2 linked regions of the Drosophila melanogaster genome follow. Changing the gene in region 1 together with any one later gene gives a genetic interaction. Each region holds a gene or a part of one and is shown on either strand. Other genes may lie near its edges.

Region 1 (3,661 bases):
AATAAAGTCATTAAGATAAAAAGTTCACCCCACATATCCATCCACTGCGTTCATTCCGCTCATATTAACAGAATTGACATTGAATTTGAAAATGGGAAATGGCAGCGAATCAATCTTCGAAATGGACAACAAGGACACAGATAAGATACTTGGTTTGTACTGACTATGGGTTGCAAATCAAGCTCTAGATCAACCTTACACATTCTGAACGATCCCTCTTACGCCGACAAGCCGCCCAAAACTAAAACTTTTTATATATTTTTATTTGTCTTGTAAATTTCTATCGATTTGCCCAAGTCGACTATAGCATTCTCACTTAACAAATTTGTAGCAGTTTATTAAATATATAACTGTCAACCTGATATAGAAATTTAAGATTTAACATCGATGGAAATTTAATTTCAAATCTCGATTTAGAAATACAAAATAAGCAGAAATTTCGTTCGACCCACCCTAATTCAATTAAAAGCATTTTTCATAAACAAGCAAATGTATACAGCAATGCAATTAGACAATTTGTGGCTGACAAAAGATCAAGGCCATTAATTAAGAATTTATTAAGTTAGCTTGGAAAACACAAATATAAAGAATAAGAGACCTTGGTCTTATTTACGAAGATTCGTTGGGAAATTCCGTCATTTAAATACCAAGAAGTGTTCATAAACACCGCCGCAAGCTCGGTAATTGTATTCCAATCGCCACACGCCCATACAAACCTAGTCTGTTAGGCGATACTAAGCATTAGATTTAGCCGCCCCATAAGCTGCCTATACGGTGAGTTTCCCGCTAATCAATCACATTTGCCGGGCGTCATTTCCCATTAATTGACCTAACCACCCACACGTTTGTGGCCTCAGGCCGGTCAAATGGGAAGATTATGCCCAAAGACGCCTCATGTCTGGGGTCTGTTGTACTTGGATTACACACTAGATATGTATCTTTTAGAACATCTTAGCTTGTAAACCATAGATAAGACAATTAAAGTCAAGACAATTGCTGCAAAGGCGCTTTATTTCGAGCGACTCGTGTACGATTGATTACTTGGCTTCTAATAGAAAATATTTCCCAGGGAATTCTGAAGATCCCTTTGAATATCAGCCATGGTTTTCTGGAGATTGGCGTGCACCTCTTGCTGGATACGATCGGCATAGTTCTTTGCCTCCGCCTCTAATTTATCCCGATTGTCGAAGGATTCGCGATCGCCCAGAAATGTGCGTCCACCTATCTTGGCAATCACCGTATGATCGGCCAGTTCGATGACTATATCACCATTGGAGTACTCCACCTGAGCCGGTTGTCCGTTGATGGTGACGGTTTCCTTTTCGTTAATGCCTGCTGCTTTTGGCCTGAATGTGTACACCTGGCCGTGATCATTGAGTTCGATGGCACCATTTATGATCCTAATACTGCGTCCATTGCTGTTCATGTAACTTCCATGACTCGCATCTCCAACAATGAAGCTATGTCCATCGCCATGAATTACGCTGGATCCCGAGCCACCATTGATGATAACATTGTTATAGCTCCCACCGTGACCATAATCGTGCGAGCTGTCCTCTTCGCTGGAGTCGGCATCCGTGATGATCCTGCGCCCATCGGATCCGATCAATACTGTTTTGCCATCGGGTCCACGAATGATTTGCCCGGCTCCGTTTGATAGGAAGGTGTTTCCATTGTTCTGAAGAATCGTCTGGTCCTCATTTCGCTGTATATTCGCAGCTATAAAAATACAATTTATTTTTTTTCTATCTGCACATACAAAGTATATCTATATATTCACCGCTAGACAGAGAGGCGATGCCGGCCAGCAGGCCCAGTAGAATCCAAGCTCCAGTGTTCGAGCCCATTTTGCATTGACTATGCCAATGCCAAGTGCGATGCCAGCTATTTATACTATCCCATAAAAATATCGGCTCATCGCGCCGTATTCGTTCTATATACTCTATGAGATCGGTTCTCAGTGACAGTGACTCTCGCGCAATAACAGATAAGACGGAGGAGGTCAGCGGTGCAGTCTACCGGGAATTGCCACCGACGGGTTTGTTTTGTTTACTTGCGGTTGAGCGACAGAGGCACTTCGTCACCGGCTTGCCAATTCACTCTCGATTTAGACGGATCGAGAGAGTGGGGGGAACTGTGTCAAATCAAGAACGCTTTTTAGCCAGGCCAAAAGTACGCAGATATGCCATAGAAACTGAAAAGTTGGGTGCGCTGCGATTTGCAACATTCTGAAAAAATTATTATAAAACACGTGCTGATATTGTTATGACGATCAGAATTGAAAAATTCCCATAAGCTCGTTTGCATACTTATCAATAAAATCAATATCAATCAATAGCTTATAATTTCGTAGATTATTTCGGTTTGTTCATTCGATTGCAATATTAGTTAGATTCAGGAAACAATTTCAAAAGCCGTATAAACTGTATCTTCATATTCATATTTGCAATATTAGGCTTTTAATCTCGTTTAAATATTTTGGCTCTATTACATACAGTATAGTAAAGGGTTATATTTAAATGTCATAGATAAAAAGGTGCACAATTAAAGTGACTATATATAAGTGAGTGTGACCATGAATGAAGTATTAGCATACAAATCGAGTACTGTTCGACGAAAATCAATTGCGAAGCAAAGTAGTTGTAAAATTATTCACAAATTTACTGTAAAATCCAGCTTGACTTGGTTGTGGTCACGCCTCTGCCACTTGGATAAATTTAGTAACGCCACTTGCCGCTGTTTTTCGAATGGATGACTATATTGTCGGTGGACTCTTCTCCGCCATTCCAGGCGGGTCCGCCATGGGGTCCAGAATTGGAGGCAGGTCCCCATTTCCACGGCATGCCATGCACTTCACAAATGACAAATGTGGGTTTATAAAAATATAGATAATAGATATAGATATTAGAACACCACTCACCGCTGAGAACGACGAAGCAGAGCCAGAGCAAGAGAACCCAGAGTTGTTGACGTAGGTACATGATCAAGCCGAGGAGTTCCAATGTTCCAATGATGGGGCATAATATGGACACACTTGTTTTATACGGCTCCAATAGCCAAGTAGCGCTCTATCTCTTATTCGAATCGTATCTCTTGGATTGCTTTGGACTCTCGCTCTCACTCCCTCTCTTAGTGGCATTCTCTGTATCTTTATTTGTCCATGTTTGGATACGTGGAGGGATTCGATAATGGCTTAAGCTCTAGCGACTTATGCATAATGCAATTTTCTGTTCTTTGCACTCTTTTAATTCTCATTGAAACCATCGTGCCACCACTGTCGAATGCACTCAGAGAAATTTATGGTTATATACAACAGGATTAAAGTGTCAAAAGTTATTTATTATATTTTACAAAAATATTTTTTTATATTCGCTTTTGCATATAATTTAAAAAGTAAAATAATCCTAATTTACGCCACTAACTAAGTCATTCAGTAGATATTTATTTCAGTGTAGACGCACAATAGCCGGGTAATTAAGAAGTTTCGCCATGTGGCTACGTTTCTAATTATTTTCAATTGAATTGCTTTGCTATACGTAAAACTTTTTCCATTCCTACTGCCATTAAACATATCGTGGAACTGCTCGGTCCCACCTCGGATCCCCGGCCATTGACATTATCCAATGTCCCCCGGCGTCGAGTGGGTTTATCGTTGCTGAGT
Region 2 (7,733 bases), about 11 Mb from region 1:
AACTGTCTTGTAGATTAACCGGAACTGGTCGATAAACATTTCCACTCAATATGTACGCGAACAACTGTATGTAAATACATATACGGGGATTCACACATCAACTGCAATGTTTATTAAACATGAACGAACTAAAGGTTGTCTACATTCAACAATAAATTATTGAGCCAAACATTGAACAGTTTATTGCCGCTCAACTGGAGCTAGCTTATTTCCGATATGGATACAGTGCGTTTCATAACCATGACCGCCAAGTGCCACGTGTCGCGAAGGTCGAAGTTCGAGCGTTCGATGCCCGACATTGAGGAACATATGTATATTGCGTTTTATCCACATTCGTTGTCGCTTGACAAAAGTTGGACATAATATATGGTTGTCGATCGACTCTATATGGTTTTGAAACGCACTGTCCGGAGATACATATAATACTATATAGACTCTAGATACATTGAAAGAGACGATGTGATGATGGATGACGTATTGATAGTCTTTGCTTTATAACAAGTGAGTGTGCTTAGGTGCACATCAGGCATATGGGCACGCATTCACAGCAATCAGTAACAATCGGTAACAGCTAGGCTAGAGCTAATCACATGAGGCAACCAGCCGATGGCGGTACCGAGAACAAACAGTTTACTTATTGCTAGCAATCGTCTAAAACGGCTTGAGCAGTTTACAAAATGATAAAGCACTGCTCGCACAATGCAGCCATATGTACGTATGCGTTATATATGCTCATTACTCATTCTCAGATGGGGTCTGAGTTGCGAGAACGGCGCGCGAGATAATTAAATTAAGTAAGTCACTTATCGAACGCGTGACTAACAGTTAATTGAGCACTTCGATTAGCAGTGTCGCGTATTTAACCTCACTCAACGCAATTGCCAATTTGTCTGTTTATCAAGTCCAGAGTCATATACATAGAGCATATAGCAATATCGTGTCGTATTTGGTAGTCTGTGTGCTTTTGTGATACATTTGTGCGGATATGTGGTATTGTCTTTATTCGTTGTTGTCTTATATAAGTTAACAAGTGCGTCTAAGTATATTAAGTTAGTTGACTTGATAAGGATTAGGCTAAAGATTATCACTAGGCATGGAGGGTGACGACATTGGTGACTGGGCGGCCACAACTAGACTGGGCACACGACAAGGAATCAAAGAATCGAGAAATCGAATGAATGGCTATCCTAACACTATGATCTCAGCCCGGCGTCTGCAGCTTGCTGCTGGATCGCGAGAATAGGGCCTTCTTCAGGATGTTCGGCTGCCACTTGATGAAGCTCTTCTTGCTCTCCGACGTGGTGGAGATGTTGGAGCTGCTGGCACTGAGTGTCCTCTCGCGTTCCGTGACATTTATGGTGCTGACGGAGTGGGCATGACGCAGAGTCTTGCCGCTGGCCCCATCGCTCCGCGCCGTCTTTCCAAAGCTGTGCGTGATTCTGCGCAGGAAGCGATCCTTTTTCTTCGGCTTGTGCTCCGGCAGGGGTGAGCCGGTGTCACCGGAAACCGAAACGATTGTGGTCTCCGCCTCCGGCACTTTGCAGCTGTTGTAGTTTGGCATATCAGTGACATCCTTGTCGTTGATCTGAATCCGAATGCTGGGAGTGGTCACCCGGGGAGCCGATTCCTCCACCGGCGAGGGACTGCATAAAGAAATTTTAGAGAATGCCAAATTTATGATATGAGTGATAAAATTCCAACATGTTTTACAATTAACAGCAAAACTAATTTCGCTTCAATATAATCTTACGCCCAGATATATAATACATTTATTTCCTGTTTATAAATTTGTTTCAAATTTGATTACTCATATGCAGTGTATTACTTCCTGGGCACTTTAAAAGTCGTATGAGTTCATCTTTCTGAAACAAACGTATCTTCTTTGAATTTAGCAAAACTAAATAAAAATACCTGCTAGGCTGTTCTAAGGTTGATCGCTCGTACGCCATGTGATATTTGCTTATATATTTTGTTTACAAGCAGTTGGTATACATTTGCACATTTTATGTGAATGTTGTGAAACGATTTCGCAGCCCCTACAACCAGCAGTAGCAATAATTGAACAGTAAAATCAAAAACTTAAGCTAATAAAATGTATTCTAAAACAGCTTCTTAAATTGGGATGACTAGACTACTTCATGTATTCGTATTCAGTTTGCAAACCTCATTTATCTGTTGGCTAGCAATCTACATTATCTTGAGATTTTATACCCCTAAAAATGTATCAAGTATTTTTGGAACACATACATATACATATATCGCAGGAAGTAGCAACACTTACGTCTGCACCTGGCGCGTGGAGTAGATCGAAAAGGCATCCAGATCGTGTAGGGAACGAGCCAACTTGTCCCAGAAGTTGAACAACTTGGAGTCCCCGGCGTACTTGATGTGCGTGTAAATGCCCAGGGTCTGGGGTATGTGCATGTCCGTTTTGTACAGAATCGGTATGATCTTGCGAGTGTGATTCTCTGGGGAAAGTCAGATCGTTGAACTTGTAATGCGACTCTGGCTCTGCGATACAAATGCGTATCAGCTACTCACCAATCTGGATCTTTTGGGTGAAGTTCACGAGGTACGTGTTCTCCGGACTCCGAAGAAACTCCTCTGTGAGCACGACGATCAGGTGATTGCAGCGGGTGGCCATGAAATGGGATAGCTGGACATGCTCGAACGGAACGCCCATTAGCATGTCGCGGTGGCGCAGGAATAGCTGCAATAGAACGATCCCATGGTTATTTAATACAACACACAGCAACCGAGCGCATCCCACTCACCCTGAGATTGTATCGCTCAGACTCTAGATTATTCATGATCTCGGTGGCATGATCGATGTCTGCCTCCGCGTACAGAACACATGCGTTGTATCTGGGCAGCGGTTGGCCCATCTGTACACATCTCTGGTCCTCGTCGCTGAGGATCTGCACACTTTGGCCCACTGTGATGTTGTTGCTGCTGCTGTAGTTGTTGTTGGTCTCGAAGCAGTCGCTGGGGGGCGGCGGACACGCCTCCACGAGAGCAGTCTGTCGCTGCTCCTGTTTCATGATGAAGCGCTGGGTGTCCTTGGCTTTTGAGGAGAGCAAAATTAAAACAGTTTTACTAAAGGGATTATGATTGCTAAAAACTACAAGGCCGCACAAAAAGTTTTCTTAACACATCATTCGTAAAGTAAACAACACAATTTATACATGTTAATGTCAAAATCAAATTACTTAAATTATGTTTATTAAATAATAAATATAACCCTTTGTTGATATATAATGAGCTTAAAGGAATGGCATAGTGAAGTTTATCTGAGTTTCTGCACACAGTCGCTAATATATGAAGCTTTCATAACAAATTGGTAGTATTTATGATTTGTAACTCAATATTATGTATGAATAGATAAGTGTATGCATATATCCATTCAGATGTCTGCCATTGTCTCCCCATCTTTTTATTCCAAATATATTGTCAGCAGAAAAGATCATTCTAGTAAGAGGTAGTGAATTCTAGATTCAAGCAGTTATCATCAACGACACATTTATAAAAAATTTACTTTTTTAGTTATTTTTAGTTTTATTGGAATATTTCTAAAACACCCAATGAAAGATCATTAGAAAAGGAATTCAAACATTTCCTTTGAAAAATTCCTAATACGATTTTAATTATGTGTGCTTTTTTATACCTTAAGCATTCAACTTCCGAGTGCGTTCATTTGTTTTTAAATCGAACCATTTTGGTCACAACGAATATATCTATACAACATCTGCTCCTAAACAAAATTGACTGTTCGAGGTTTTTTATTAATGACAACAGTTTTTGCTGGGTGAATCCCCATTGTGCAAATAAATAAGAAAATTTCGTTCTTAACTGATTGGCATTTTCTATAGTTTAAGTTCTGTTGTTTGCGGCTTTTAGAAATTATTGTTTTGAATTTTTTCTTTATGGCTGTGTGTTTTTCAATTTGTCGGGATGTGGTAATAAAAATCTTGTAAGTCGAAGCGTTTTATTTGACAATAAATAGAAATAAACACAAATTAATCATGGGAAAGTGGGTGACTTTTATTTCTGTCATTACGTATCTACTCATCATAACTCAATAGTTTTATGTATCCGACGATAAGCTTTGTTTGACTTAGATAAATGTGCGATAGATAAGTTAAATATGTACGCTTTCTGCATATACTCCCTATATTATATAGATTACCACGTCCATTTTTATAAACTCGAAACGGCTTTTCCGGTCATAAAACCAAAAATGGATCAGCCAAAAATAATTGATAAGTGTGGCTCGCCATTAAAGTAAAATTTAATGGTTCATTTTCCGATTTCCAACATTTGTGTACATATCATTTGATAAGTACATTATTTAAAATTCCTCTTCAACTTCGCAAACTCGAGAACAGTCAAACATACATAGTTAGTCTAGACGTTTAACTAAATTTTCACTGTCACGATGGCATTTTGAAGTAAAAGTCGAATCGTCAGACCATCATTTAAAAGCTAATCTAAAACAAATGATACTCAAAACTCAAGTGACATAGTTTAGTTATAGATAGATAGCGACTACCATAAGTAAAAAATAGTTAATGCCTACCCAGATTCTCCTGGATATCGTCGCAGACGTCCCACCGATCGATAATGCCCAGGAAGTGTTCCAGATGGCCCACCTTGGCGGTCTGGGGACTCCGCTGGCTCCAGCTGATCAGCACCAGATCCATGGGATTGTTGGCGTTCTCGTCGACGAATCCCTTCTGCTTGGCCAGCTCCGAGATGCCGCGCCAGTCCCGCTGGTAGCCCTCCTCGGATCGCAGCACCTTCTTGCGGTTCAGCATGCGGGACAGCTGGGTGCGGGTCTCGATGCCCAGTGCGGATAATGGGGTCTCGTTGAAGTGCCCCAAGCCCGTTCCCGTGCCCGATCCCGACCCGGAGTCCATAACTCCCTCGGCCACCACCATGCCAGCGGTGCGATAACGCCGATAACTGACGTCAGTGGCGCCGTAAATGTGATGGTGATGGGGCGGATTGGGATGGCGGTGGGTATGGTGATGGAAGTGGGAGTGGGGCTGGTAGTGGGAATGGGCCACCGAGTGCTGCTGATGGCATACAAATCGAGGGCGCATTCGCACTTGGCGCTGGCTTTATTGGAATAATTGGTGTTTGTTTGCTGGCGTATTTGTTTTAGTGTGGATGCGATGTGATGCGATATATATTTATCAACTGACGTTTATCAGTCGAGAGGGCGGCGAGCAATAAAACGATGAAGCGCGTGAGTTGTGCTGCTCTGTAGATTTTTTCGAGTTTTCCGATCGCGCGTGCTTGTTTTTTTTTTGTTTTTTGCGGGCGGATGAAGCTGAAACTGGTTAGAAGGGGGTGGTGCTTTACTGCTAAACTTCTATACTTCAGTGCGGTGCGAAATGGACCGAGTGACCTCCAGCACCTTGCCGCGTCACAGTCGCGTTGTTGTTGCTGTCTCGGATTCTGTTTTTATTTATCTGTCTGCTCCGCTGCGAGAGGAGATGGAGATCTTCGCCTTCGTTTTCGTCGCGTTTTTTATTCGTCTGGCGTATGATTTTTTGAATATTGTTTAAATATACACAACACACACACTCACAATCAGTGGCGCACGCACACAGTGTCGCCCTAAGCACAGAAATAAATTCGTTTCGCTTTTTTCGAGTGCGTCCGCTCCGGTTTGTTGTTTTGTTTCGACTGGTTCTGTCCGCCGTTTGTGCTTTTGTTTCTGCCTCGTTGTCCGCTCCTCCTCCGCCTCCTCCCCAACGGACTACTCTTCGCGCTCACTCTCCCGCGCTCTTTCTCCACCGCCTTTCACTCGCTTGTTTATTTTGGTTTCGTTCCGATGCAGGGCGAAAGCGCGGGGGCCACAGGCGGAACTATCAGCTCAGCTGCTTTTTCTAGTCGGCTGACAACACTCTGTTTGCACTGGCTAATTGCTAATTAATTTATCTGCGCTGCGTTCCCACTTTTCAGATCAGATCGCGATTCCGATAAGCTCGTGGCGATCGATGGGCAAAAGCTTGGCGAGTCACAGCTTTTCGGGTGGCCAGTCATCGGCGAGGTTTGGTACTTTATCGGGGCCAGTTATCGGTTGCGGTATTTTTGGTGCGCGGGCCACACTTTAATAGGTTCCAAAAGCATTCACCAGATGGCGCTCTAAGAGTGGTTGACTTAATTTCCGGTTGGTTAAATATAATTTAGGAACGTTGGTTCTTGCCGTAGGATTCCTAATTATTCATAAGCATAATTGATAATGATTTCTTGCTAGTGCAAAAGCAAGAAGAGTAGTAAAGTGAGTAAAAACGCACTCTCCTATTCGACCGGCTGATGTAGGCAATCTAACTCCTTTCAGTTATGCAGAGAATGGTACCTTTAATGGTGCCTCAAAAAGGAATATTTTACATTTCGACCTGTCCAAGACATACTTACTCATTTTACCGAGAAATATTGCTTCCCCGAAATCAACTGATTTGAGACGATAATGTGGGGAAATGAACATGCCAACCAAGGACCACACTCTCGTAAATAATAGTCAGAGAGCACTTGTAAATTCAGTTTATTTTCATTTGATTTTGTTTGTTCTTTGTGTGGTTGATGCCTGCACCTCAACGCTTTTCATTTTCAGTTACAAATACTGAGATATACTTACTACACAGGTGACACAAATTGATTTATCGCTTTTATGGCTTTGTTTGACTTTTTCTTTCGATTCAACATTTCTTGCTTTGCTTGATGAATAAAACGCTGAAGGCGTTCAAATGTATTTTAAATATATTTGTTTTGCTTTTTCATGGTTTATTTTTGTAGTTTTCGTTTTTCGGTCGGCGTTGCGTTTTGCATTGCCAGCAACAATTAACAGTAAAAGTTGATGCCTTGCACACAAGTTGAAGTTGAAGTTACCTGCTTTTGTTTGAATTCCGTTGTTAATTTATTTAATGTTGATTTACTCGGATAAGCCCCATCATTAGTTATTAATGTACCTACTTGGTATTTACTCATTTGGTTTGTTTGTGGCTCTATTTACAATACATCTGCCTGTGTGTGGTGTGGTTTGTGTGTCTTTCTTTGTATTTCGTTCATTTTTCACTTGTAAATAATTGCTCAAACTGGATTGGGCACCAAAAGTCTCTCGTTCAAAGGCTAAAAAGTTTGATTTTTTTCTCGAGAAATAATTTCGTTATTCATTAATTTATGCTTGCTGCGTGTTTGTGTTTAACCTGTGTCATTATTCAATATTCATTGGTATTTCGCCCTAGAACGTTTCGAGTATTTCAATTACATCAATTTACTTGCTTCGATTGTAGTTGTTTGTATAATAATTCAGCTTACATTTTTACACTTAGCTAGCCATAAATATAGACATTAGTTGTGTTCTTTTAATTAGGTCTCCCCTACCTCCTTCATTCAGTTAATCTCCTTTTTACTTTCGTTAGTTTAAGCATGCAGTTAAATCAATTTTGCAAACCTAGTGGATATGCTCTGCCCCATGTGTTAAATGCAATTACTAAGTATATTGTTGTTTGATTGTATATACTAAATATCCTTTGTGACTGCCTGGCGACAAATTTGATTATTTTAGCCTCTGTTTTAGCCTGTGTGTATTTGTGGTCAAATTCGAATGGCTTTCTGGGCCAAAATGCGTATCTTACAAATCTGAATGAGGTGTGTGATTCTTTGTCCCAGATGTACTTGCATTGCATTTAACAACGACCCGCTCTAAGTAGATTAAATGTTTA

The links. Genes that interact genetically often act in the same process or in processes that back each other up.
Region 2: of Bbd (region 1) and Myd88, changing one suppresses a phenotype caused by changing the other (phenotypic suppression), as found in Drosophila melanogaster (one study listed by BioGRID).

Annotation. Positions count from the first base shown.
Region 1 is NT_033778.4:20,532,712-20,536,372, reverse strand, and holds Bbd (bombardier), read right to left. Parts: upstream 2,129-3,661; 5' UTR 1,848-2,128; coding exon 1,781-1,847; intron 1,720-1,780; coding exon 1,049-1,719; 3' UTR 538-1,048; downstream 1-537. Other genes in the region: CG30154 (uncharacterized protein), read right to left, coding at 2,718-2,851, 2,921-2,981.
Region 2 is NT_033778.4:9,302,693-9,310,425, forward strand, and holds Myd88 (Myd88), read right to left. Parts: upstream 6,031-7,733; 5' UTR 5,103-6,030; coding exon 4,577-5,102; intron 3,065-4,576; coding exon 2,775-3,064; intron 2,711-2,774; coding exon 2,542-2,710; intron 2,469-2,541; coding exon 2,282-2,468; intron 1,644-2,281; coding exon 1,202-1,643; 3' UTR 131-1,201; downstream 1-130.